Linked DNA regions of Diceros bicornis minor. The protein of the gene in region 3 interacts with the protein of the main gene of each other region in a pairwise test. Links are inferred from orthologs where the notes say so. Each region holds a gene or a part of one and is shown on either strand. Other genes may lie near its edges.

Evidence for each region.
Region 1: the proteins of MGAT5B (region 3) and DMRT3 interact in a two-hybrid assay, tested with the Homo sapiens proteins (2 studies listed by BioGRID). The two-hybrid records come from large-scale screens. The link is inferred for Diceros bicornis minor from reciprocal best matches to the Homo sapiens genes MGAT5B and DMRT3.
Region 2: the proteins of MGAT5B (region 3) and keratin-associated protein 26-1 interact in a two-hybrid assay, tested with the Homo sapiens proteins (3 studies listed by BioGRID and IntAct). The two-hybrid records come from large-scale screens. The link is inferred for Diceros bicornis minor from reciprocal best matches to the Homo sapiens genes MGAT5B and KRTAP26-1.
Region 4: the proteins of MGAT5B (region 3) and HOXA1 interact in a two-hybrid assay, tested with the Homo sapiens proteins (2 studies listed by BioGRID). The two-hybrid records come from large-scale screens. The link is inferred for Diceros bicornis minor from reciprocal best matches to the Homo sapiens genes MGAT5B and HOXA1.

The regions. Positions count from the first base shown.
Region 1 is NC_080761.1:25,499,209-25,506,149, forward strand, and holds the start of DMRT3 (doublesex- and mab-3-related transcription factor 3), read left to right. Parts: upstream 1-3,920; coding exon 3,921-4,371; intron 4,372-6,941. UniProt on the Homo sapiens protein: Probable transcription factor that plays a role in configuring the spinal circuits controlling stride in vertebrates.
Region 2 is NC_080766.1:31,087,032-31,093,253, reverse strand, and holds keratin-associated protein 26-1, read left to right. Parts: upstream 1-4,938; 5' UTR 4,939-5,005; coding exon 5,006-5,581; 3' UTR 5,582-5,718; downstream 5,719-6,222. UniProt on the Homo sapiens protein: In the hair cortex, hair keratin intermediate filaments are embedded in an interfilamentous matrix, consisting of hair keratin-associated proteins (KRTAP), which are essential for the formation of a rigid and resistant hair shaft through their extensive disulfide bond cross-linking with abundant cysteine residues of hair keratins.
Region 3 is NC_080757.1:57,054,334-57,061,771, reverse strand, and holds the start of MGAT5B (alpha-1,6-mannosylglycoprotein 6-beta-N-acetylglucosaminyltransferase B), read right to left. Parts: upstream 3,024-7,438; 5' UTR 2,513-3,023; coding exon 2,445-2,512; intron 1-2,444. UniProt on the Homo sapiens protein: Glycosyltransferase that acts on alpha-linked mannose of N-glycans and O-mannosyl glycans.
Region 4 is NC_080742.1:51,929,151-51,936,714, reverse strand, and holds HOXA1 (homeobox protein Hox-A1), read left to right. Parts: upstream 1-4,553; 5' UTR 4,554-4,844; coding exon 4,845-5,496; intron 5,497-5,976; coding exon 5,977-6,332; 3' UTR 6,333-7,511; downstream 7,512-7,564. Other genes in the region: HOXA2 (homeobox protein Hox-A2), read left to right, coding at 1-100. UniProt on the Homo sapiens protein: Sequence-specific transcription factor. Regulates multiple developmental processes including brainstem, inner and outer ear, abducens nerve and cardiovascular development and morphogenesis as well as cognition and behavior.

The DNA.
Region 1 (6,941 bases), on a different chromosome or scaffold from region 3:
CGGGGTTGCAGGCCGTTCTGCCCTCCCCTTTGCTCCAAAAGGCCTTGGCCTCTGAGGATCCTCAGGCTGCCCACTGCCAACATGGTGTGGGGGACATGGCCGTCTAGGACCTTCCTTCTGCTCAGCGGCGTCCCCCGGGCCCGCCTGATGCAGCTTCAGTCACCCCGGCCGCACGTGGTCTCTGCCCTCCGCTCCGCGCCCCAGAGGGCCTCTTCAGGGATGCCTTGGGGGGTGCACACGAATTTCTCCCCAGTTAATTGAGGGAGAACAAGGGCATTGCTGTCACCTCAAAAAAGCGATTGCTGGTTGCCCCACCGCCTCAAAGATATTTGTTCCCCCCTTTCCATCTGAAGCTGGTCGAAGAGCGCTGCCGAGAGGCACGGACAGGGTGACAGCTGAGAAGTCCCTGCGCGAGGAGAGGGGTCTCGTTTTCCTGCATTTAAAGTGTTTTCTGCACGCCCCGGCCTCCAGCGTCACCGTAGTCTCGATTAAAACGGCAAAATAGGAACCCTGACCTTCAGCTCCATGAGAATGCAGCAACGCAGAAAATTTCCTGATACAGTATACATCCGGGACAAGATGAAACTGTCGTTTTGATTAAGCGTTGCTTGCGGTGAGGAGCAGCTACCAGGACTGCCAGATGTGGAGGCAGAACATCCTCCGTTTCTCAGCGAGGGCACCTGCATTCTCAGCTTTTAGATGTACACGCACCGTGAGATTGTGTGTGCGCCGAGCGAGAGAACCACATACGCACATTATCTTTCACCCTTTCGCTGTTAATACCTGTCACAATTCTACCCGGTTAATTGTGGTTTGAAAACACACACACACATACACACACACACACACTCCCCACCCAGAGCAGAACGCGAGTGGATCCAGTCTAGTGAGGTTACATTGACTTGTAATCCTCCCCCCTCCCTTTCCAATGTCTTGGATGATTTTTCCCATAAGTGTGTAAGCCGCCGGGACTTAGCAGAAGTGGGCCGCTCCTCCTAAATGTGATTCGGACCATATGCTTTCTACATTCATTCCCGCTCCGGCTTTTCTTCTCCGCACTAACTGCTAACACGTTATAGTCACCTTGAAATTTCCTCTGCTATTTTCCAATTAAAAGCTTAATAGCCCTGGAAACGGAGTTCATGTGGTGAAGTTTACCATAGCCCCTTGTTCTGAAAGGCTTTCTGCTGGGATCCCATTATGTGCTTGAATAAACCCTTTCTGCAAACAGAAATGGGACTCCGGGTTGTCAGGTGTTGGGTTACAATAGACTTTGAGGCAGGGGACATTTTACCAACATAAATACAAACCTGTCCCTATAGGGAGATGTTGTCAAATACTGGGATATGGAAAACATTCCCATCAAATATGAGAAAAGGATTATTGCGCTATATCAAACGAGTATTTAGATCTCAGCCCCCGATGTGCACTGAAGTGAAACAGGGCCCTGGGACCAAATAATGCCAGACTGTTTGAGTGGCAAAGGGATAGGGTGGCTAGGTGACCGAGAGGGGAAAGGGGTTGTCTTGGAAGTGGGAATACCCCCCAAACCTCTGCTTTCCTTTAAAATTCTTTACTCCCAAGTTCCTTATACTCCCGGGTTTCCTTGACCATTTGGAGAAAATCGGGAGAAATTTGGCTTTGAAAAAAGTCCATGTTCCTCACGTTCCCAAGCGACCCGGAGATTTCAGTGGGGAAGTTCTCAGATTCAGTGTCATTCTAGGCCCTGTACGTCTCATCACGTGAAGCGACTTGCTGCCCCACTTCTTGGCCTCTGGCTCACCGGGCTGCGGGTGACCTCTGCCTCCAGTCCCGAGAGGTTATCAAGTTCCTTCTCGTTGTAGTGTTTTAGGGCTTTTCTTCCTAGCGAAACTTAGGAAGAGAGGAGATATTGAAGCGGTGGTGGGGTGGGGGGTTTAAGGGGCAAGACCCCAGGGGTCCCTGCCCGACGCAGCTTCGAGAGGAGGCCTCCCAGGGTTATCGCTCTCGTGCAAGAGTTTCCTGCAAAGGCCCCACCAGGTCAGCCTCCAGCGATCCCCAACTCCCGGACAGGTCTGAAACTGGGGACGGCTAAGGGCTTCAAAGGAAACACACACAACCGTGTTCCCTTTTTAAACCTCTTCCCCTCTCAGAATCCCTCTTCCAGGCGGAGGGTTGGCTAGAAGAACGCCTGGCTGTGCTTTTACTCGAATTCACAGCACAGAGACATTTTCGGATTGCTTGTTTCCAGGCAGTGCAGAGAAAAGTGGCCTCTGCGAGGGTACAAGGGGCGAGGTGCAGCCTAACGGTTGGCCACTGCAGTGGACTCATCTATGCTCTCATCTCGCATTCGATTCGCTCAGACCGCCAAGAGATGAGCTCAGTTTCTGCTCTCAGAAGCCTGCGGACCGACGGCTCCGGGATTGCCATCTCCACGGCTTCGCACTGAGGCATTGTGCTACCCTGCGCCGCTGTATCCACCTGTTTTTAGTTTTCGTTTTTTGATTTGGGGGTCCCTGTGCATGTGTAGCGGCAGTCTGCATTAGGCCAAACCGGTACTCGTAGGAGATTAAAAACACGCAAATAACAGTTTAAACAAAGTTTTATGCTATCCAAAGACGCTGGGAGGAGTGGGGGAGGAAGTGGCCCCATCCTTTATCCATAACTAAATCACTGAGTCCGTGGGGATTTGAATTGGGTGACGAGAGGCCTCCGTTTGATGGTTCAGCGGCTACTGGGGCGAGGGGAGATCATATCCGGTAACTTTGGGGACGCTAACGTGGCTCCTTCGTCCACGCTGAAAGTTTAGACGCAGCACTTAAGCAAATCCTCCACACGAGCAGACAGAGGATTTCAGGACAGAGACTTGTTTTTATCAAAACGTGGGGAGGAGGGTAGAGAAACTCCGCGCCAGAGAAGGAGGGCTGTTTTTCCCTTTGAAATAGCCTGCAAAATGGGTTGTCATCCTTGGGCCAGCAGGTTTTCAACACTTTCTTCTACAGCAACAAGATAAAATATGTGTTGCAAAAGGAAATCAAGAGCGAGCCGAAATTTCCCGAACCAGTGCCCTACAACCAGTGGCCGTGCGTGGGGCCAGGCTCGCCCCAAATTAAGACCTTCTCGGCTCATGCCGGGTCCCGAGAGCACCCGCAACGCTCCAGTAGGCCCTGGCTCTCGCGAGCCGAGTTTCTTCGGCCAAACGTTGGGATAAAAGCGGCCTCGGGCTCGGTGCCGCCAAATTAGGCCTGCAGGGAGAAAAAGAGAGGGTAGGGGAGCGGCCGCCTCACTCGCCTACAGGCACCCCACCCTCACCCCCGCCAGTCCTCCCCTTCCCCGCCCCGTGCGCACCGCCGCATCCCGGCGCGCTGCAGTCCCTCCCGTCGCGGGCAGGGGAAACGCAGAGCGCTAGGAGGAGGGGGCCGTGAGCGCCCCCGCGAGAGTGGCCTGGCTGCAGGTGGCAAGGAAGGTGAAGTGCAGGGACTCGAGGGGCGCGAGGAAGGAGGAAGGCGTGGAGTAGGGTGGGGAGTGCAAGGAGACCAGGACCCCGGGGGTGGGGGTGGCGGTGGGAGGGCGGAGGAGTTGGGGGAGGGCGGTGGAGGAGGTGCTGGGCCCGGCCTGCGCGCGCGGGAGTTGCGGAAGAGCTGGCTCAGACCTTAACCCGAACTGTCGCCGGCTCTTTGCAGCCGCCGCAGCGCCGCGGCGAGGGAGGACGTGCGGGCCAAAGCAGCGGCTGGCGGAGACGCGACCGGCGTGGGATTGGCGGAGTACCAGCGGGACACTGAGGCTGCGAGCGCCGCGGGAGCCGTAAAGACGGCTGCCGCACCTCCGGCCATCCCGGAGCGCACGCGGCCGCCGGGGCTGCGGGACCAAGGACCCCGCCATCCAGCGCCCCCTGGCCTGCTCCCGCCGCCAGCCCGCAAGCTCTTCCGGGAGCTCGGGGCATGAACGGCTACGGCTCCCCCTACCTGTACATGGGCGGCCCGGTGTCGCAGCCGCCGCGGGCGCCCTTGCAGCGCACGCCCAAGTGCGCGCGCTGCCGCAACCACGGGGTGCTGTCCTGGCTCAAGGGCCACAAGCGCTACTGCCGCTTCAAGGACTGCACCTGCGAGAAGTGCATCCTCATCATCGAGCGGCAGCGGGTCATGGCGGCGCAGGTGGCGCTGCGCCGGCAGCAGGCTAACGAGAGCCTCGAGAGCCTCATTCCCGACTCGCTGCGCGCTCTGCCCGGACCCCCGCCGCCGGGGGACGCCGCCGCCGCCCCGCAGCCGCCGCCGAACTCGCAGCCGTCTCAGCCGCCGCCTCGTCCAGCTGCCGAGTTGGCTGCGGCCGCCGCGCTGCGCTGGGCTGCCGAGCCCGCGCCCGGGGCGCTGCAGGCACAGCTCGCCAAGCCAGGTAAGAGCGTCTGCGGGGCGGGAGCCCGGCCAGGCGCGTGGGCAAAAACTTCCGAGCTCCTGCTGAGGCTCTGCCTGGGAGGCCTGGGCGGGCCTTCCCCCACAATCCCCGCCAAGCCAGTTCTTACTATCTGGGCAGAAGCCGGCCTTCAGTCTGCCTACCGCGCGGGTAGCATCCAGGCGCCCGCGGGCGAGCCAAATGGCTGGATTCTGCGTCGGGATCGCCAAGTGCCTTGCCCAGGTTAAAGGTGAACGTGTCCGTTTCAGCGGTAAAGAGATCGAGACCGGACCCGGTTAAAATCCAAGCGGGCACACATACCACCGCGCGGCTGGGCTTTTCTGACTGCGGTCCTTAGAGGGCCTTGCATTTGGAGGTAGGGACGGGTAGGTGCAGGGAAGGAGGCAAGGCCCAAGGCTTGTCTGACTTTGAGTTGGGCGTGCTTCTCGGCCCGGGGGAACTAGAGCGAACCTGAAGCCTTTCTAGTAGCGCTCTGTGGTTTCCACTCTCTTGCAATAGCTGAAAGAAGCCCCATTGAGAAGCAATAGTAAATAAAGGGCCAGAAAGGCGCCTGAACGGATAGCGAGGACCCAGAATCTGGCGCGCCCAGAGTCAACTCCTTTTGCAGAACCGCTCAGGTCTTTTAACACTGTTCCTCAGGCTACCCTCATCTGTTTCTGTGGTTTAAAAAAATAAAACAAAACTTAACCGACAGTGAGGAAGGCCCCCTCTGGCAAGCCCTTTCCCCGTTCTAGGCGGGGAGATCTGCTAAGCTGCCAGTTTCGAGCAAAGGATCTCTGAGTCCTCTTCCTCTCTTCCCCTCTCATCTCCTCTGCTGTGCTTTAGAGAGAGTTTCCCCTGAGCCCTAGAGGTGGACAGATTCCCCCAACCCCCTGCTTCCATCTCCTTCCCTCCTCCAGGCCTCCTGAGCCTGCAGGCTAGCAGTTGAGTCTCTCTCCTCCTGGGGAATCTCTAGCTTGCTGTCCTGCCCAGCCCAAGTGCTCCTTTGATTTTAGGATCTTGGAATTCAATGGACATGTGTTTAGTGTTTTCCCTTCACTGGGGCAAATGTATAAAGGAAAAGAGGCAGTCCTCTTGGGGAGGGGATTAGAGGATATGCTGAAATTCGCAGAGGGAAGGCCTGGAAGGCCCAGAGTCCTGTGTAGGTGGAACTGTGGTAGAGCTTCTGCCTACCCCTCCACCCTCCAAAAGGACAGTACCTCTAGCTTCTGGAGAGAGGCTTCCAGGAGCATTGAGCTGCTGTGTGGAGCTGGGGAAGTGCAGGCTTATTGGTTGGGGAGGGAGTTGATAGGCAGCCTGGCAGGCATAGTTGTGCTGCCCTGTTGCTCAGTTATGCTCTCTAAGCCTGAAGCTCTGAGAACATCTTATGTGAAGAGCACAACTGGGTATTTTAAGGACGGAAGAGAGTTTGCTGAGCATGGATTTTGTGGCTATTTAATCCAAGGTAGGGTATAAGCATTTTTCTGAGTAATACCCCCCCCCATTGTGTCTTCAGTCTGATCACTTCTTATTTGTAGATTTGCCACAGAGGAATGGAGGGTAGCGTGTTTTGTTTTTCTCTTTTAGGTTAGAACAAGTAACTGGGAAAGTGTCTCAGTTCTGGAAGTTGATCTGTGCCAATAACTTCCCAACCTTTCTGTTTCCAGTTTCCCTGTCTCCATTTCTCCCAGCACCGGGGCAGGAGTCTGAGTTCATGTCAGTGGTAGCATTTTGCAGTGGCCACCTGCCCAGCAGCACCCCTGTAATAGGGCATTGGGTTCTGGGGTCCTTGTCCAAGAGGGGAATCTTCTCCCATCCTATGCTTTTCAAACCATTCTCTGGGATAGCCACGTTTGTGGTTTCTAAAGAGCCACAAAACCAACAACCCTGGGAGGCGACTTGTGAGGGCAGGAAGAAAAACCCAGTAGCAGCTGCAGCAGCAGCAGGATACATAGTTTGGGAAAATAAAAGAGGGAGACTGATTTCAACTGGACAAACCAGACCTGGTGCTCTCTCTCACTCGCACCAAGTATTCAGGGATAGCCTGAGTCCTCCAAACTGAAAACAAGTGATTGCAAAGGAGACTAGGATTTATCACAGGGAGGGGTCAGAGCGATGTCTCAGGGAGATTGAGCCATCAGGGGCCAGCGGCTCAGTTTCCACCTGGTCATGCTGCATACCTTGCACATTCATTTATAACTTTCGTTTTCTTTTTTAAATTGGTTTGACCCCATAATCTCGTTCTTTAAAAAAAAAAAAAAAGGCAGCCAATCATCAGTCTGATGAGGAGGTCAAGAAAAGAAGATAATTGTTTTCCACTAGGAAGGCAAGCACACAAGTGGATCATTTCTGTGCAATGCTTTGTAAAAAGGCCCATTTGGGGTTTAAGTTAGAGAAAAGTGCCTGGGTGAGACTACCTGTTGCTGTAGGTATTAGACCTTTTTTTGCAGTTGTTCTTATAATGTATTTGTATGTAACATACCATACATATTTAGAAGTATACCAGAAACTCCTGGATAAGTAGCTCACTACAGGTAGAGAACTAAGTGAAGCTCTATTCAAATAGTAGGTCC
Region 2 (6,222 bases), on a different chromosome or scaffold from region 3:
GTTTTCCGAGGACAAGGGTAGGGGTGGGTGAGGTGGAAAGGGGTGGAAAAGAAGCACTACAAAGGGGCATTAGGAGATTATGGGGGATAATGAACATAATTATTATCTTGAGTCTTGGTATATACAGATGTCAAAACTTATCAAATTGTACTCTTCAAATATGTTCAGTTTATTATATGCCAATTATATCAATAAAGATGATAAGATATACAGGCAAAAGCAGGAAGTTGAAAGAGACCTTGTAAAAGTGAAAGGGACAGAATTCAGTCTTACCTATGAATAATGGAAGGAATACCTCCACCTACCTGTCTTTAATACAGGTATAAAAGGATGTGTTAATTAATACAAAACAGTTTCCTAACATCATCTGGGGAAAGTTCTTGTGTATGAATGAAGTGGGAATGAGTGGAGAAAATTTTGTTCAAATCATGTATAAACCATAATTTTCACACTCAAGAATGTTATAATATAATAAAAATTCAGTTGAATGTAGATTACCACCTGATAGCCTTATCAGTTACATAAACTCTACATTGCTGATCAGGGAATTACTTAATTCTTCCAGCTGACTATAATTTAAGATTTTATGCATGGCATCCAACAGGGGGTGCTAAAATTAGGCCACTTCATTATGTTGTAGGTTGCAATGCACTGACTCCAGATAATTGGTTGTCTTCTCTAAGCCAAGCTACGATGAATATTAATCAGTGATATTAGAATGGGCAGCAGAAAAACTTGACAAAGTGTCTTCAGTCCCCCTGAACCTCTTTCTATCTTCCTGTTCTTTTATATTCCTTGAAAGTTGACCTTCCCTGGTAAAAATGCAAAAATGGTGAGAAAAGTATATAAAAGAGATTCTTGACTTGACTAAGTAAAGGTCAATTTTTATTTGATAAAGAAAACCTAAGTTATATTTTGTGAATGCCATGATATTAGTCATCAAATATTTACTAAGGATCGACTAAGTTTCCTCACATGTATTGAGAATAATGATCACGCCTACTCAAATAGGGATGCTGTGAGGATTAAATCAATTAATACATGTAAAATACATAGAACCGTGTCTAGTACATAATAAGGATTCTGTAAACAGTAGCTAATAAGAGTTCTGTAATATAATCAGGAAATAAGACACATAGAGAAAGAACATTTTGCTTGCAAAGCAAAGGAGTGTGTGTGTGTGTGAAATAGGTAATGATAAATATACAAATTTAAAGCTGGAGAGATTTAGATTGGTAGGAATGTATTTACAAAGAAGGGGCTAATTTAGCTGAGGTTTGAATGATAGTTAAAATGAAAGAATTATTCCAAAGGAGAGGAAGAATAGGATGAATGAGGAGATGATGTAAAATGAGGATGGATGTGGAGTAATTGGAGACACGAACAGACAACCCAAAAAGAGAAGAGAATCTCTATTGGGAAGCAGAGGAGGGCTAATCAAGTGTTTGGACAATTCTCTGTGGACAAAGGGGAGTTATCAACATTTTTGAGTAAGAGAGTCATACGATAAAATTAATTCTAGAAGTATTAATCTAAATGCAGTATTCAAGCTAAAGAGAAGACAATAGGAGGCAAGATGGCAGTGAGAAATGTATTTGTTCACCAAAGGGGAACAAAATCCAACTTGAATGATGGCAGTGATAACAGAAAAGGGAAAATGGATGAAAAGACATAATTTTAGTGATCAAGGAAGAAAAGCCTTACAACAAATTTTCACTCTGTCCAATCTATGCTGCAATTTAATCACAGCACTCTCTTCTTGAAATCAGTTATTGGATCACCACACCTATAGAACAAAATCTTAACTACTTCCTTGATGATTGGATTAGATTCAGCGTGTGAATCTAGGTTTAGTTACTACAACTTGCGTCTAAGAACCCTTCACTGAAAGCACTGTCGTCATTTTTTCTGCCTTTATACCTTTTGCTACAGCCTGAAGTGTCTTTGTCTTTCCCAAACCCTCTACCATTTTCTCTTATCCTTCAAAATCAATATCAAATGCCAATTTTAGGTGAAGCCAATGAGCAACATTTGCTCTTTTCTGTACACCATTTATAGAACTTAGTAAGCACTGACATGAATTGTGTACTTGTCTTATCATATATACAAGATTGGATGTGTCTGGCAGCAGAAATCAATGGTATCTTGGTATTATTGCAAGCATCTATCATAATGTTTTGCATATACAAGATGCTCAACAAATATTTGTTGAACGAATGAATGCAAGGTATGTCATTTATTGACATACCTTTATTGTTGCAATGCTCTGAGGATTCTTTACGTCTAAGAGAGAGAAATTCAGGATTGCTTCTCTACAGTAAGACAGGTAAGGACCCATAATTCATTGAAGAAACAGTAACAAAGTGGGTAAATCTGGAGGAGCACACAGGATGCCCAGTTCTTTAGTCTACCTCTAGCTCTTACATCAGAAGAGCTTGAAACCTGTAGTTTATAGGAGCCTGCTAATGACGTACCTGCTGTTATGCCTACATGAGCTCTTCCCTTTTAGTGACTCGGTCACTATCAAATAACATCAGTTCAACATTTGTTATGTTAAGGTACAACTTACATTCAGGGCACTCTATTTTCTGAAATTCCATGGATATTTTTGCTGTGTTACCCACCCACAACAACAAAAAAATGCAAGTCTTGTAGGGCGCTCTAAAGGAATTAAACCCAAGGTGGTACTCTTTAGAATGGATTAAGGATGCCAAAGCAAGAAAATAAATTATTCTGGTATAGTGTTTTGCAGTACACATTTAACTTTTTCTTATATCTCAATGTATCCTAAAAATGATACTAGACATTACTAATATACCCATTGTTCCATAAAATAATACTGATAGGGACTGGGGATCAGAGTAATTATGAAAATTGCCCAGGGGCACATAGTTAGTAAATGATGGTATCAACATATCTCTATATAATGTCATATCAGATAATGGGACAAAAAACTGTTTGCGGGTTAAGGACCCCCAAGCAAATGTTCAAATGTTTGAAACCCTTTTGTTCAAATATTTTTCTTCATTTCAATTACTGTAAATTTCTTCATCTCAAGTTTTCTCATGAATACTTGAAATAGTAAAATTTACTGTAAAGAGTTGTGAGGATAAAATGACATTGCACATGTGGGTACCCGCACTGCAAGGTGTTGCCCAGAGTAGACGCTAAATGAAGATCAGTTTCCTCATATTCTACATCCCTTCTCTTCATGGAAAAACATTCATTATACATAATGAATACATAACATAAACAATACACACACACACACAAATATATTGATGTACTAATGATGCAGGTATTGGGCTCTTGCTTATGTTAGAGAAGAGCAGGCACAAGGAACATCAACATATAAATCTGATAAGCATTCAGTTAAATATAGCTGTACCTATTACTAACGCCATTTAGCTGAGGCCTCCAGGATATCACAAGAAGACTCAAGCAATGTGTACCAAGAGTACCAGGTGACAAAGCTGGGGAAGTGGGGATTGGGGTTGGGGGGACTCCTCAAACACATCAGGTACAAATCATCAAAGGGTATTGTTCCCTGACCTAAAATACTGAGATAATTTCATCCTGTCAGTACAGGCCCTCAGAGACTGTATCACGTTCTTTTCATATTTCTATCCTTGGTAGTAAAATAGTTCTATATTGGCTTGTAGAGAAACCAATCTTCTATTTCAAAGATTCTGCTCCTGGACAGAGGGAGACTCAATCCATGTGGGCGTTTTCGTTAAACATTAAAATAGAAGAAAGTGCTGTGATTTCCGTTGAATTTCTAGCTAAAGGGCATTGGAAATCAGATCCAGCAGATAATTAAAATTTCCATTAAAATAGCCATTGGAGCCACTAGATATGTTGGTAGATGAAAAACACAGTGAGAAGATTGAGGCTAAATGCAACCATGTTTTCTAAACCAGTTTTTACCAGAAAATATATCCCCAAATTACCTTCCAAGTACTCATACTTAGGAAAACTTTACATTTATTCTGATGCTATTGCTCATGTAAAGCAGTTTAGAAACTCCTCTCTGGAAATTGATATGAGAACCAATGGAAGAAGCAGAACCACATCCACGTCCACGTCTTAATCATTATGTCCCTTTTTTTCCCAAGAATAGTAGTTTTCAGTTGGGACGTGAGTAACCATGAAATACATAGCCTATAATAACTATGAAAAATGTCATTTGTTCAACTTTCTTTAAGTGGTTTTATTTGCTTTTGTCACAGAAGGATGTATAATTTTAACTGAGCCCAATGTATTTATCTGTATTAAGAATACTTTAAACATCAAATAAGCTTTCAGTTTGACTCAGTTTATTTATTTATTGAAATGAAGAAAATGGGCTTGATTTTCTAAAATGAAGATATTTTGGTGGGAAGTCACTTTCTACCAGGATTCAACAATAAAACAAAGTACAAATTTGGGTGCATTGACATTTTCCATTTTGTACTACTTTTAAACTCTTTCTGCCCCAAACCATATAGGTTATAGGATTTTTTACATTCTTTTACAACATACTTGCTTTTAAGTTTCTTTTTTCGACAATTTCCTAAAAGAATAGAATTTCCTCTCAAAGAGAGCTAACTTGTCATTGTTTCAAAGAAGTATTCTACAACTTTTGAAGACAAATCCAAGAGAGGCATTCTAAGAATGTTTAGGCAGAGGTGGTTATAATTGGAATACGTGAATGACCTTCAAAAGTATCTGTTTGGGTTGGATAATTTAAGAAGGAGAGATCCTATTAAAATTCAGTCACTCTGCTCTGTAGAAATGATGGAAGGCCTTGCCAGGAACATCCAGTTTTATGAGAGGTGGGAGCACCACTTCCGGGCTATAATGAAGAGTTCTGAGGCAGCCTCACACAACAAGGAAGAAGAGAGTCTGTATACACGATCATCACCTTCCAGGGATATATAAGGGATCAAGCCAAACGAGGGGCACAGCGAAACTTGAGACACTCGCTTCTTTCCAATCAACCCCAGCCTGCTCTCGGCACCTCACCATGTCTTGCCACAACTACTGCTCTGGAAGCGACAGCTTGGGATCCCTCAGAAATCTGTGTCATATTCCTCTCACCTCCTCCATTTCCCTCTGCTCTACAAATGTGAGCTCTGGAGATGTCCTCTGCTTGCCCAGCAGCCATCAAGACCACACCTGGCTCCTGGACAACTGTCAAGAGACCTGCAGTGAACCAACCAGCTGCCAGCCAGCCAACTGTGAGCCCAGCAACTTGGAAACTTCTCACTGCCCCTCCACTGCTTACTACGTGTCCGGACCCTGCCAAGGAACCACTTTTCTTCCGGCTGCTTCTTACGTCTCTAGCTCCTACCTCCCAGCATCTTGTAGACCTCCGAGGTATGTGTCCAGCAGCTGCCGACCCCTGCGCCTCCTCCCTTACGGATGCCGCCCCTTGGGTTGTTTGCCCTGTGGTCCTCAACCCCTTAGCGTCGTGTCCAGCTGCCTCAGACCTCTGCATCCTCTCTCCATTGGATACCGACCTCTGACCCATGTGTTCAGCACTTGTCATCCATCTTGCTCTCCACTGGGAGGCCAGTACCCTCCTTGTTCCAGTTTATAATCATGCTGAAGATCCAAGGCAAAAATTCCAACTCCATGGACTTTTGCTTCTTTCCTAGTAGTGACTGCATTTTCTTGGTTTTACTGTGCCTGATCTAATGCAAGCTGCTCTTTTCACATTTTTAACTCTTTTTTTCATCTCTCTCTGACATCAAATTATTTGGTTTACAATGTTATTCATATTGCTTGGGTGTGGGAAGAATTTCTTTGGTTTATGCTGTAATAAATGAGATCAAATCAGAATTAAGATTCTGGTTCTTCAATTTGTCTTTTATTTCTTCATTTTAACGGAGAAATGACCAACCTCAACTTCTTGCAAAATAAGTAACTAGGACTTGGGACACTCAAACATATGTTCTTATCTGACAATAGGGGTATGGCTTGATGGCTTATTCTTTGAGCTGCTTTCTAGATCTCGCCTCCTACGTACTTGAGAGACCCCAAATGTTCTTGGTGGAAGTTATTTTGAAAAGGCGAGATTAGGAATGATCTCCTTATCTCTGTCTTCCAGTGAACATACTTCCACCAGAATGTCCTTTCTAATCACAAACTGAGCCATATTTCAGGCCTGCTTAAGCGTTTGATGGCTTCCTATGATCTTTTCCCACAAAATAAAAAAAACAAACCCCTTACCATGACATC
Region 3 (7,438 bases):
AAGAAAATAAAAGCACAACAAAATTTCCAACCCACATTTAAAGGAAGCTGCTAAAAATTAAATCAGAGAGGGGGCAGAGCCGAGAAGCAGTGAGGGCACTGGGAGCTTCCCCCAGGAGATGACAGGGAGGACAGGAGAGATGGCACCGAAGGACCCCTCACTGAATTCCACCAACCCCAGGGGTGGGCTCAGGCCCTGGGATTCCTAAGATGAAGTCAGGCTGGTCTCAGGACAGCAGCCAGAGGGACAGTGCAGGAGGAGGGGGGTTGCACACACAGGAAGATCCTGGGGGAATCAGCTGCTTGTCCTCCCAGCCTGAGGACAAGGACGAACCCCTCAACTTTCTTGTCCCTCACTCCCCCACCCCCTTCCCAGCTATGGGGCTGTACTTAGAGCTGGGGATCTGGGCTGCCAGGGTCCAAAGAGGTGCTATGAGAAAAGCATCTAAACCTTTAGCCCAGAACCTGAAGCCCCCAACACACCTCAACTGCATCTCTCTCTGCCAGACCCCAATCCTATGGCCATTTACAGTAGACCCGAGTTAAAATGGTTTCATCCACCCATGCATCCGTTCAAGCAATGTTCCAGGAGCAGCTAGACAATAAGATCCCTGCCAGAGGCTCTGGGAACCAGAGGGAATAGGGACCTTGAGGATTAACAAACAGCGGTGATGTGGTTGGAGGCCACCTCCGCCCACCTGAACGGGATATGAAAACTCCACTGGTGGCTGTGGGTCTCTGGGCAGCCTACGGAGACCCTGAGGTTACATAATTTGTGGGGAGGGAACCTATGCTATCCCACCTCAGAATCCTGCCATCAGCTAAGAGCCACTGGCAGGACCCCAGAGGGAAGCCATGCAGGGGAGCCAGCGCTGTCCGTGGTGCTGGCATCCCGCTGCCTTCGATTGCGCCTAGAAATGTCCAGACAAAGCTGGGGTCAGCGGCTGGGCTTCCCGCGGCCTTAGAGGGCTGGGCCGACATTGGGTGGGAAAGATGGGGCAAGGACTCTTCCAACAGTCCGGGTCAGGCCAGGGATTCAAGGATTTCCCTGGAGGAGCCAGGCCCTTTCCAGAGATGCCCACTTCCCGCCCTGCTTCCCATGGGAACTTTACGTCAAGGGCTCCTGACAGCCCCCAATCACCTGCCAAACGCCCTACCCTCGGGACCCCCAGCTCTGCGATCCTCCTGCATCCTCTGGGCAGCGGTGGCCCAGCATGACCTCTGCGGTCCTGGCAGCTGTCTCCTCAAGGCCTCACAACAGGCCCGGCCCATCCGGAGACCAAAGCCATGTGAGCCATGGTCTCCCGCCCCCGTCGGAGCCCAGAGGGAGTCCAGCCGGGGCCTGGGAGGGGCAAGGGCTCTGGCCGTAGGGCTAGAGGGAAAGGGCTCAAAGGTGGCTTCTCCCACAGCCCAAGCCTCGGTAGTCTCGCCTGACCAGTTCCTGCCCTCGTGGGCTCCGTCCCGAGCCCGGACCCCACCTGTGGCCGGGTCCACAGTGCGGCCCCCACCGAGGCCCCGCGCCCTGCGCCGCCCAGCCCCGGGCGAGATGGCACTCTGACTCCGCTGGGCACCCATCGCCTAGCGCCCCCTCCCCAGCCCCGACTGCAGGCTGGGCTCCGCGGGCTCTTGGGAGGGAGGGAGCTGCCCTGGAACCACCGGGCTCTGGAGGCCCCTGGGGTGGGACCAGCAGAGCTCGGTCAGCCCCGCACGGCCAGAGACCTGCCTGGCCTGGCCGCGCGGGGGGGGGGGGGATCGGTCTTCGCCTCCATCCTGCCTCCACGCTCCCGCCGTGGTCCCGGCTCACGCGCCCTTCCGCCCCCCGCAGCGCCGCCGCTGCCCCCGCCTCTCCACTGCCCGCGATCGGAAGCCAGATCCCCAGCAGAGGGTGTCCTTGCCCCAATCTCAGGGACCCTCCCGTTGAAGGCAAGCCCGCACCCCGCCACGAGATGGGGAGTGCGCGCCAAAGGCGGGGGAAAAGGGGGCGGCACAGGCGGAGGGAGCGGGCTGGCCGACCGATGGCTCGACGGCCCGCGGGGTGGGGGTGCAGCCCGGCACGCGCCCTAACTTCGCCGCTGGGGTGGGGTGGTCCGCGAGGTGGGGAAAGACCCCGAGGGTCAGGGAAGGAGCGCCCTGGCTGGGGCAACTTCCCGGGCCCAGGACCACAACCTGAGCGCTCTCTGCCCCCGTTCCCACCGTCGCACCCCGAGTCCTCTCCAACCTACACCAACTCGAGACACGTCCCAGAATTACACACCCTCCCCACCTGAACCCGAACCCCAGCCCCAGTCCTTTCCCCAACCCCACTGGCCCTGACCAAGGGGTGAAGCACGAACTGCCCCCTCTGCTACCCGGACAGATGCCCTCGCGAAGACCGACCTCGCCCACCCCTACGTGCGCCCCCTCGGAGAAAGAGACCTCCCCGAGCCAACCGGGAGAGAACTTTACCGAAAGGGTCTCAGGGTGACCAGGCATCTTCTGACCATTATCTTCCCATCGGGGTTCACTGTGATCATTGTTCAAACTTGTCTGGGCGACGAGCCGCGGGCGAGGCCAGACGCACCGTCCCGGGCCCTGCTCCGCCGCGGGCCGAACCGGGTCCGAGCGAGGCGGGGGGCGCGGGGGCGCGGGGGCGCGGGGCTTCTCTGCTCGGGCCGCGGCCCGCGGGATCGGCTCGGCTTCGGCAGGCAGGCGAAGGGCGCGGCGCGGCTGCCGGAGGGCGGCGAGGGCGCCCGGCCGGGCCGTCTCTGCGTCTCCGCCCTCCCGCTTCACATTTTGGGGGCCGAGAGGCGGCGCGCCCCCAGACCGCCGGCCGCGCGTCTGCCTACTCGGGCTCGCTCGCTGGGCGGGACGGCGCCGCGGCGCGCAGACGGGCTCCCCGCCGCGGGCGCCCTCATCCCCGGGCCCGCGCCCTCGGTGCCGGCTACAGGCGGCCCCGGGCCCGCGCCCCGGCTCTCGGCGCCTCCGGGCCGCGCCGCTCCCTGGCCCGGCGCCGCGCCGCCCTCATGGTTCCCGGCGGGGGCGCCCTGCGCCCCCCCCTGCTGCCCGCTCGCTCGCTCGGCTGCCCGCGCTCGGTGTCCGGCGTCCGGCCCGCGCCGCGCTACACCTGGAGGCGCCGCATTGTTTCCTCGGAGGAGGCGGCCGAACCGCGGCTGGGGCGGCCCGGGAGCGGCCGCCGCGCTTCCTCGGCGCGCGGCGCCACCTCGTGGCCGCAGCCCAGCAGTGCGCCCTCCCGGCCCGGGGCGGGGCACCTGGGCGGGCTGGCGAAGGTCTCTGTGCCTCCCTCCAGCGGTGCAACTTCCCGGGGCCCTGCTTTCGGAAGCATCCTGGGTGCCACTAGCCCCTAGGGCCGAGGGCTGCTTCGGCTCCTGCAGAGCACAGAGGAGGTCAGTGCTAGGAGGAGACCCCCTCCCTTCCGCCCGGTGCCAGGGCCCTCCCGCGGACCGCTGCCTCTGCAACCATTGTGGGCTTCTGCACTGGTCGCTTCACACTCCCTCTGATTTCGCTTTGCAAGCCTCACCATCCTCTGGCCTCTCTGGTCAGAAACCGCCGCGGCTCCCTTTTGCTTACTGATCTGAGTTCAAACTCGGCCTGTGGCGCTCAGGCTCTTCCGCTGAGCCCAGAAGCAGGGGCCTGTGGTCCTGGGTTCTAGTCTGGGATCCTCCATGAACCGGCGGGGGTGCCTGCAAGTCAGGGGAGTCTCCTGGCCTCAGTTTTTCTACTATGAGATGAGAGTGCCCAGACTCTCTATAACGCGTTTATGTGCCCCCACCTCCCTCCCCGTTTTGACTTTGGAGATGTGTTTTCCATTGCAGAGACGGTTAGGGATCCTGCACGCACACCGAGGCAGCGCAGCTCCCAGAGCCAGGCCTGGATTTGAGGACAGCGCTGAGGCAGGAGTAGCACTTTTGGAGACGAGACCTTGGCCAGGAGCAGACATGGAAGCCCCTGGCTAGGAAGAGCCCAAGCCCTCAGACCACGTGTAAAATGACATGGATGACCCTGAGGGTCTTTCCATCCCAGGCAGTGACGCTGCAGCCTGGTTTTGGAGAAGAGAAAACCTTTATTCCCCTCCTCTTGCCCTGGCCCTGTCCAACCAGCACCCCTCCCATCCCCTTTGCTGCCTGCGCAGCCCACCTCCCAGCCCCTCTTCTGAGCCATTTCTCACCAGCAGTGACTCATGCTCCTCCTTTTCCTGCTCCTTTTTCATCAAAATTCACCTGTCCCGTGTTCCATTATCTCATCGCTTTGCTCTCTGCTAATGTGAAAACCGATGATGAATTGGTGTTGACGGATTAATGTGTTGCTCCAGCTAGGTAACAAATTTGCAGTGAACAAGGACGTGCTGACTGTGCCTTCGTGCAGAAGAGTGACGAATTGTGGCAGGAAATGTGGGCATCACGGCAGGTTGGCCAAGGAGATATCTGAGGGCAGAGACCTCTGCTGGGCCTCTGAATCACACCTTGTGCCTGGGTGCCTACATCAGCCACACACTCAGGCAATAATTTAAGTCCTGGGTGTCAAGGCGAAAGCCGTAGCTACAATAAGGAATGAAACGGCCCTTCCGATTGTGTGTGTCTCTCACACAAGCTCAGAGGGTCGAATTTACACCTGGTTGGTATTTTAGGCCAAAGGGGAGGGGAGTAGATGGAGTCTCCTCAAAAGGCATGGCTGTGTCTGCTGTGCTCTGGGAAGGTGGCCTTCCCTCAGCCAGAAGCCAGAATTCAGAAGGTGGGACAGGGTACTCCCCACGCCCTCTGGGTCTTGCCCTCTTGGATATAGGCTTTGAGATGCTCAGGGGGAGAGCACCGCTGCCATTGGATGGCAGGCCCGGGCTGGGCAGGGAGGTGTGGGGCAAACTGCGAAAGAAACTGTCTGAGCCAGACCACCCAGCTGTCTCTTCCTTTCAGAGTCTGTTTCCCTCTTGTCAGCCACTCATCTGCAGGAAAGTTCAGTGTAAATGGTCCTGCTTGCTCTCTGTTGTGCTGCAGACATTAGGAGAACACTTGTGAATCCGCATCCCATGTACCCTTGGGTACCACCTCTCTGCCTCAGTTTCCTTGGTTGTAAATCAGGCCATTTACAACCTGCCTCATAAGGTGGTTATGAGAATTGAGCCTGTCGATGCCTGTAAACAGCCCACTGCCTGGCATCTGTGAACCCTCGCAGCATGTGGTTATGCTTTTTCCTGTCACTGTTCGCCCATAGCAGACGCCCTGTTCCCTGGGCACATACCTCTACACGCCAAAAGGCGGATTACTGAGAAGACATGCGACACTGCCTGAGGCTTTTCTTCTGGCTGTGGGAATATGCTCGAACATGCAGGGGCAAGACAGAAGCGCCAAGGAATTGGTGCCCCGGAAGCAGCCTTCATGGAATGGATAGTTACCCAGGTGGGATACTCTGGCATGTTCCACACCAGCTCCCAGAGTTCCCCAGCGAGACTGAGCTGCAGCTGCCCGCGGTGGTACCCAGCTCTGTAATGCACCTCGTGCTGGCTTCCTTCTCTTCCCTGCCCCATTCCCCACTCCTCCGCCCGTGTTCCCGGGGTCACCTCCCAAATACACTGCGGGTACTTGAATCCTTGCCTCAGAATCCACTTCCGGGGAGCCCAAACAAGACCCTGCCCTACAGGCCAGTGTTTCTCAGCCCTGACTCGCAGCAGAATTACCTGCAGAATGTAACAAAACAGAGTCCTTGTTCTGATTCAGTACCTCAGTTGGGGCCTGGGCACATTTGTTGTTTAACGCCACAGATTATGCCAACATAACTGGCCAGCGTTGAGACCCACTGTTCTAGATAAATACCCCTGGCCTTCTGATATGGAAGCAGAGTCACCCTCAGCAAGCTAGAGGAGAATAGGGGAGCAGGAATTGGGGGCACTTCTGCAGGAGGGCACATCCAGGGATTGATGATGTCAGGTCATACAGATTCCAAACCCCTTCCCTTTCCACTGGTTTTCTCTTTTGAGGCTGTAAGCAGATCCACAGGCTAGCCCAACCTGGGGGTCAGGGGGCAAACTCTGCATCAGCCTGGCACTCTAAATTTGGCATGTCCTGGCTCTCTCCGCTCCCCTCCAGATGGACCTGCTGGCCTGGCCAGAGGGGTCAGGAGAAGCCCAGAGCCAGCAGGAGGCCCTGGCCATGCAGAGGAGGCCCTCTGTCCAAAAAGGGGGAGCCGGATCCAGGGAAGGGATTTGGGAGAAGTGGGTGATGTACCACTATTTAGGAGTGTCCTACTCAAAATACCTAGAGGGTGGGCCAGGCAAAGAAGGGAAGGGGGCTATCTTAGTTTCCTAGAATTGCTGTAACAAATTACCACATACTGGGGGGCTTAAAACAACATAAATTTAGTTTCTCACAGTTCCAGAGGCCAAAAGTCCAAGATTAAGGTATGGGCAGAGTTGGTTCCTTCTAGAGGCTCTGAGGGAGAATTTGTCCCATGCCTCTCTGCTGGCTTCTGGTGTTGCCAGCAATCTTTGGCATTGCTTGGCTTGTAAATACATCACTCCAGTCTCTGCCTCTGTCTTCACATGGCCTTCTTCTCTGTTTGTCTATCTTTCTCCCCTCCTCTTCTTATAAGGACACTAGTTATTGGATTAAGGCCCACTAATCTAGAATGACTTCATCTTAACTAATTACATTGCAAAGATCCTATTTCCAAATAAGGTCACTTTCTGAGGTTCAGGCAGACATGAATTTGGGGGGGACACTGTTCAACCTGCTACAGGGACCTAGTGGAAAAGGGCCAGCGTAGTTAGAGACTGTTGAGGACAAGAGGTCTCTCGGGGGCACAAGCCACCATTGTTTTGTGTGAATGCGGTCCCAGTTATTTCAAGGGAGTCAAAAATCTGGGCTTCTCATGTGAAGTTGCATAATTTAAAAATGTAGACTCAGTATTTTTAGAACATTGTGCAAGACCAATAAAATCCATTGAAGGTCTGCTGTCTGGGTCCCCTGTGGGTGTCACCGGAGGGCAGAGCAGGGAGCCTGCCAACCCTGCCCACCCAGCAAGTCCAGCTTCCCCGAGGCCAGCTCCCCCAGTAGACACCTCACTGCCCCCAGAGAAAAGTCAGTGCTCCTAGATGCTCTCCTTGCCCCCTCGCTGCCCCCCCTGGAGCCTCCCTGGGCATCAGAGCCTTGACTGCCGCCTCCACCTTCTCAAGGCATCAAGGTTGCTCTGGGGCTCACAGACGGGGCCTGGGGTAGGAAGAGGAAAGAAAGAGACAAGCGGTTTACAGTGTTTGAAATCCCCACTTAATGTGCTCCGACTGGGGCAGCAGATAGCACGTTAAGAGGCAATAGGCCGTTGTCCCTTGCTGGAGTGCGGAGTACTCCAGTAAACAGCATTTACTGACACTGTGCACAAATCATCAACAGCCTCACTGGGCGGGGACAAGCAGCCCCACACAGACGCCAACCACCTCGAGTCGCTGGGGGAGG
Region 4 (7,564 bases), on a different chromosome or scaffold from region 3:
GCCAGGTTCCCTCGACAGTCCTGTAGATATTTCAGCTGACAGCTTTGACTTTTTTACAGACACACTCACCACAATTGACTTGCAGCATCTGAATTACTAAAAACATTAAAGCAAAACAAAGCATCACAAAACAAAAACCCCTTTGACCAGGTGGTTTTGCCTTCTTTTATTCTGAGAGTTGATTTTTCTTTTATTTTCTTCCCAGCCTACCCTCTCCCTCCTTTAAATGTTGACGATTTTCTGTTTAGTGATTCCCCTGACCCAGTTTCAGAGCCATCTTTTACAGATTATTTTGGAGTTTTAGTTGTTTTAAATCTCATCCAACAACCCTCTATGTGATTTCCTGAAAGCAATATATGAGGCCTGCAAGAAAGTGATCATATAATTGTATCTTCACTTTCTTTTTATTTTTGTATTACATTAGGATGCATTGTCATGCGTATTTTTTGGTAGAATAAATTCTCCTTTGCTATAAGTAGCTTTCTTATTTTTTTCTCCCCCTCTTTCTCAAGGCTCATAATGTTTTCTTTTTCTTCGTTTAGTCTAACTTGGTAAATAAAATTCTGGTCACGATTCATCTTTTTCAATTTTAATATATTTATTAAAGGAGCATGTTTAAAGTCATCAATAAATAGCAACAAAAAAGAAAGCCAGAAAATGGTTAGGGCTTCTGAGAAATGTTTTGCATTTTTTTTTAAGGGAATGGATTTGGTTTTTTAGTGTAGAGGTTCAAGCCATAGATTTAAACTGGTAATAGAAACAGGACTGGGCAGCCTCCGAGTTGGGCCAAGCCCAAGCTTCTGAAAGTGGAGAAATAAAGTGCCTACAGAAACCCCCAATTCCAGGTTGGAGGAACATGGAGTTTCTTTAACAAGCTACCAGTCTCCAGTCAATAACATAATAAGTTATCAACAATTCATTTATTTATACACATTTGTTTCAAACATCTATATTCCAACCCCCTCCCCCACATATCCCGCACATTTTCAGTGTGGTGGATTAGTCTCCCAGCTGTTGATGGGTCCAGGCAAACAGACCTAAAAGAGAAAAACAAAAATAAAACAAAACAATGGTTACTAGCTGGAAAATACATTTCAGAAAGGGTTCTTTCCAATTCTCTGGTTCAGTCATTCTAGGATTCGTTTTTTCAGGGTCATAAAATCAATATTTCATTCTTAAATCTGTTTACATGGCAAATAATGGATCATGAAAGCTTTGAAGTCAAGTTAGTAAGTTGAGATTTCAAATGGAGTGTTTCTGCACCCTAGGTTATAAATTAATCCAGTTTCTAGAAAGAGAAAGAGAAAAAGCACTTTAAATGAAATATCAATAAAATGTGATCTAGGGTATGTTACTGGGTTGTTCTGTTTTTTTTTTTCTCCCTTCTAAGTCTCCCCATGTTTATTTTTCTCCGTACTGAGCTGTTCTGATGGCTCCTTACTTACCGTGAGAAAACGCAGCGTGTAAGCAACATGTGTGGGGGCGGGTTGATTTAAGAACCCGGCTCTTAATAGCAAAGGCTTGGAAGTTACAAGGAAATCGCGGTCTTTCTCCGTGGGTTTGCTCCCTACCTTTCCCCACCTCTTTGCCCCCTAAATCCCCGCAGCGGCGGAGGCATGTGAGGACCCCGGCAGGTCTCCTGCCCTAAGCGCTGAGCGAAGCAGGGCGGCCCGGCCGCGGCCGGGGCTGAGCCGCTGCCGTTTGCGATTCGTCCTACGCTCATAAATCAAACGCTTTCCATGAATGAGAATGTCATCAAAGAGATCAATTGCAGGAACACATGCACAAATAAAAATCCTCTTACGTATTTGCCGGGGATCCCCGTCCGAAAGCATTAAGTTAGAAGGCGTTTAGTCATAATTCATTTTTATTGCTCTTTTAAAACAACAGCTTGGCTGAGCCGCGGATGCCATGAACAGCTCCGGGCCTCGGCGGCGTTTTGTCTCCTCCTCGCTCCTTCCCTTTCTAGTAGAATAGCCCTGAAAGAGGCGCTTTGAGCCCAGCAAGCCGCTTGCAGGCGATCATTTAAATAGGGACCAAGCTCGCCTATTCACCCACTCTCCGGTGGCGTTTAAAGACACTTCAGCTCGAGTCGTGGGGCCCCGGCCTACTTGTCCACAGGACCAAGGGTCTCCTACGCGGGGGAATGAGCCCCTGGATTTCGTGGGGGTGGGGAAGGAATCGAGGTACGGAAGCCTGCGGGCTCGAGGCCAGAGGAGGCTGCCTTTGTGAGCGGCACCGGGAAAGCAGCGCTCTGGGCGGCCAGCCGGGGCGGAGCCGGCTCAGCCGCGAGAGCCCGGCCTGCAGGGAGCGGGAGGCAGTGCTGGGAGGCGGGTCGGTCGCCGACCCGTGTGTCTGCGGGCCTGTGTGCGACTGCAAGCTTGTGATCTCAAGAAAAACAGCCCACCCACCCTGGCCCAGAAAAGAGGCCTGGAGGGAGGAAGAGAGGTGGAGGGAGAGGCGCGCAGAGGCCGAGAACTAGCAGAGGAAGGAGAGCGGTGGAGGCCCGGGGCGGCTTTGTGGCGTGAGCCCTGTGGCCGAGGGGGTCGCGCAAACCTGGGCCGAGGAGGCCAACAAAAGGACAGGAATGAGGCAAGCGGGGAAGAACGTACCGACAAGCTTCGGCTCGGAGAGCATATTGTCCGCAGTGCCAGCCCCTCACGTCCTGCCTCCTCCCCCACAGGAGCGCCTTCTCTCCCCGTCGCTAGAGGACTGGCTCTCCCAAGGAAGCCGCCTCCAGGAGGGCTGCCTTGCCTTGCCTTTTCCCTTCTCTAAGATGAGGTTCCCCAGGTGCAGAAATTGGGGCAGGAGTGACCTTTCCCGCCTCTGCTCCCTCTTAACCAAGATTGGGGATGGGTCAAAGGTCACAGGAAAATACCATTTCAAAAGGAAATGTTTAGGGAGAATGTTTCTCTGCTACTGAGGGAATCCATAGTCAAATGTTTGCAAGAGTTTGTCAGCAAATGTCCCTCTTGCGGGGACAGGTTTGGGGGGAACTTCTCTATGTGGAGAACAGAACGCAGAATCCTGAAAAGTTGACTAACATTAAGGATGTGCCTGCCTCAAGCAAAACTTCCTTCTTCTAACTGGGGAGGGAAAACTAGAGGGGAGTGGGAACCCCAAATCCACATACAATCCTCAGGTACATTTCATCTGTCAGATTCCCATGGGGTAAACATGGTCAGAGAAAAATCTATACAGCCTTAGCTGCAAAGCTTCTTGGATGATCTCTGCATTTCTTTTACCTAAGAATGCATCAATTCTCGGCCTCTGTTTGGCCTTTTCTCTCTACAAGCCAAGGGTTGACACGAAACCTAATAGTAAACAGCAATTAACGACCCCATCAGCATCAGGGTAGGATGAGAGTGATGGAAAACAGGACCCCTGGCCTGGGATGACGCTGAGATTTGCACGTGTCTCTCTGGGGAAAGACTTGAAGGTTCACTCAAGCAACTACACAGTCGGTTACAAAGGGGAGGAGGTGGTGTTGGGGGAGAAGAAAACGTCCGGTTCACCATCAGCCATCTGTCTACCGCCCCTCCCACCTGCCAGCCCCCACTCCCACTTCAGACGTGCAGTAGAATGGGGTGTGGATGGATAAAGGAAGCTCTACCACTCCTAATATCCTCCCCCAGAAAAGGCGAAACGTTGCGGGGGAGTTCAGCGTACTTTGTTGGAGCTGTGGTCTCACCCCTTGAGGCCCCCACCGGAGCAGCGCTCAGGCTCCTGGATCCTGGGGAGCCGGCAGATGGCCTGCAGCGCACGGCCCGGCCCCCACGCTGGCCACGTCCGCTAGCGTCATCTCTCTCCCCCGCCTCCTACCCCTCAAAATCCAGTGTCCGAGTATCTCCAGATCTCGTAGGGCTCCCGGACCAAAGCTGAGTGGGGAGGAGAAAGGGGCGGAGAGCGAGGAGAGAGGGAGGGCAAAGAGCCGGGCCACCCGCGGCCTTTTCCGGCAAGCGTAGCTCCTAGGGCTCACCCGTTCCCGGGCGTCGAATTACAGAAACTCCTTATTGCCATGTTAATAGCCAGTGTGTGTGCGTCGGAGTGGGGGGAGCTTCGGAGACCCTCCGCGGAGAAGGGAAGTTTCTTTTCTTGCCCTCGTCCCCTCCACGCCCACCCAGGTTCCTCCCAGCCAGCTCTCTGCGCACTTCCCTCTCCGTTCAGAGGTTGGAGAGCTGGTGGCCCAGCCTCGTGCGCTCCTCACTGCCCCACGGCACCACAGCAGGAACTGTGCAGTGAAAGCGCCCGGGGACCTGCCCTTCCAGCTCGGCGCGCCTCCGGGCTCAGCCTGTGTGCTGGAGGCCGCCAAGCGAGCTCCGGCCCACTGATTCCCGACCCAAGAGAGAACGGAGCCCTCTTGTCTTCTCACCTCTTGCCAGTTCATCTTTCTTTGCATGGTGGGGAGGGAGGCGGAGACGGGGGATGCCTCCAGGCCCCCACCTCCTGGAGGTGGGGGGGGCGAGCGGCGTCGGCGCGCGCAGAAGGCAGCCTCTGTTCCCCTTCACCCCAGCGCTCCGAATCTGCCCTTGCAGCCACCGCAGCTGCTGCCGCCGCCTGGGCTGCCTGGGGGGGCGACTGCGCGTCACCCAGACTGAGGAGCGCCGGGGATTTAAATGCCACTGAAACGGTGATCCATCACCGCGCGAGCCAGCAAACTTTCGCAGGAGGCTCCGCCATTGGTTTATTTAGTCACGTGCCCCTCCCCAAGCGCCCTCCGCCCTCCCGCCCCCCCTCTGGCGCACTGTACATTCATATCATTTTTCTTCTCCGGCCCCATGGAGGAAGTGAGAAAGTTGGCACGGTCAACCAGGGCTTCACAGGACCCGGTCACTCAGTGACAGATGGACAATGCAAGAATGAGCTCCTTCCTGGAATACCCCATCCTCAGCGGTGGCGACTCGGGGACCTGCTCAGCGCGAGCCTACCCCTCCGACCATGGAATTACAACTTTCCAGTCGTGTGCAGTCAGTGCCAACAGCTGTGGCGGCGACGACCGCTTCCTAGTGGGCAGGGGGGTGCAGATCAGCCCGCCCCACCACCACCATCACCACCACCATCACCACCCCCAGCCGGCCACCTACCAGACTCCCGGGAACCTGGGGGTGTCGTACTCCCACTCGAGTTGTGGTCCAAGCTACGGCGCGCAGAACTTCGGCGCGCCTTACAGCCCCTACCCGTTAAATCAGGAAGCAGAAGTAAGTGGTGGGTACCCCTCGTGCGCTCCCGCTGTTTACTCTGGAAATCTCTCATCTCCCATGGTCCAGCATCACCACCACCACCAGGGTTATGCCGGGGGCGCGGTGGGCTCGCCTCAGTATATTCACCACTCATATGGACAAGAGCATCAGAGCTTGGCCCTGGCCACGTATAATAACTCCTTGTCCCCTCTCCACGCCAGCCACCAAGAAGCCTGTCGCTCCCCTGCATCAGAGACGTCTTCTCCAGCGCAGACCTTTGACTGGATGAAAGTCAAAAGAAACCCTCCCAAAACAGGTCAGTCTTGCCATTCTGTGGATGCTTCTTGATGATTCTGGAAGGAGCTGGTATGCTTAGTTTCCAAGTAAAATTAATAACGGCTTTTTTTAAAAAAGTTCTTGCTTCCTACCGGTGTTGTAGGGCATGGGCACATTGCCCAGGTGTGTTGGGGCAAAGGAGCATCTGGGACTGTTGTGTTTCCAAAGAGGCTGACTTTTAGAGGTTCTGGGAGTAGGAAGTGGGTAGGTCTGTGTGTGTGTGTGGGGGGGGGGGTTCTGTTAATATCTCCAGGCTCCATTAATCACCGGTCTGACCACGCTAATGGCTGACTTCAGATTAACACTTTACACCTCATCACTCACTCTCCCCAGCCCGGTTTGTGGAGAAATTCTTGATCTCGCCTTTACCTGAATGTTGCTCTGAAGAGTGTAGGGGATTTCATATCGATTGTAAAAATTTTATCTTTTTCTCTTTCATCACTTCCCACCCTGCCCCCAGGGAAAGTTGGAGAGTACGGCTACGTCGGTCAACCCAACGCGGTGCGCACCAACTTCACCACGAAGCAGCTCACGGAGCTGGAGAAGGAGTTCCACTTCAACAAGTACCTGACGCGCGCCCGCAGGGTGGAGATTGCCGCGTCCCTACAGCTTAATGAGACCCAAGTGAAGATCTGGTTCCAGAACCGCCGAATGAAGCAGAAGAAACGAGAGAAGGAGGGCCTCTTGCCCATCTCTCCGGCCACCCCGCCGGGAAGCGAGGAGAAGGCCGAGGAATCCTCAGAGAAGTCCAGCTCCTCGCCCTGCGTTCCTTCCCCAGCGTCTTCTACCTCAGACACTCTGACTACCTCCCACTGAGGCCGCCCCCAGCCCCAGACTCCACAGCCCAGGCTACTCCTCCGGCTGCGACTTCTTACCCAAAGCACATTCTTAGCTTATCTTCCTTTCCATTTACAGCCTCTCTCTTCCTTTCTGATCCTATCTGGGGAGCTCCTGGCTAGAATAATGTGTTTCCAGAGAATTCTAGACTAAAGGTTCAATTGGTGGTGGTGGTGATGGTGGGGCGTTAACTCCTTAATGCAGATTGGGTGCCAGCATCAATTTTCTGGTGGTCCTTAATACCCCTCCCTACTTTTGGGAGATTTCCACAGAACTTACTGTTCCTTTCAGATGCCCTTTGGAAAATAGTCTTCTTTGCCAGCAGAAACATGTCAGAGGAAGGCCTCTCATCTTTTATCTATCTGTATATTTACAGTTCTCCCCTACTTTGCCCTTAAAGTAGGATGGAGAGAGAGGAGAGATTCCAGGAGCTCACGAAGAAGAGATGCACTATGATCATGTTTACACAATTAATTCATCTCTTAATTTAATTGTTTCATGTGTGTGAGTTTGCTGGTTGTAAATACTTTGTCCTGAGAGATTTATCTTTATACAGATTTTCTAGAAACGTTTAGATTAAGCAACTAAAACAGGGTGGGGCAAACTCTCAAAGCTGGTACAATTTTAGATGTGATTATAGGTTAAACAATTAAAGCCCTCATTTAAACTCAATCAGATGCCTCCGAGGATAGTCTCAATTTCTTCTTTCAGTGAGTTCAGAAGGCCTGCAGAACACAAGGTTCAGAAACCTTGCTTCCTGTGCTGTCTCTCTTCATCCCCACCCTTTCTGGTTTCTCTGGCCACACTCTATTTAAAATTTGTGCTGGATTATTGGGAACCTAAAAGTATTCTTCAAATCAGCTTCTTCCTTCCACAGTTATCTTAGCTGGATATGATTTATTTTCAGCTCAGTTGTTAATGTGATGGATGGCACAATGAATGTATATTTTGTGTGATTCGTGAATAGTCTTTTGCATGTCGCACAATGTTTTGATGTCCCTAAAGTACCACACTGAGTTCTATCAGTTATTCTTTGTGAGTCTATGATATTCCCCATTTCCTGTACAATCATGAACAGCTCTGAGATCCTGGAGTGATGTGATCCAGAGCAGAGTTTACGGGTCTTAAGATGTCTGTAATAAATATATTCAAGTTTCAGATATGTTTAAGCATCTGTTTGGCTTAGTTATAATCTGTTGGTTCCTACAAAG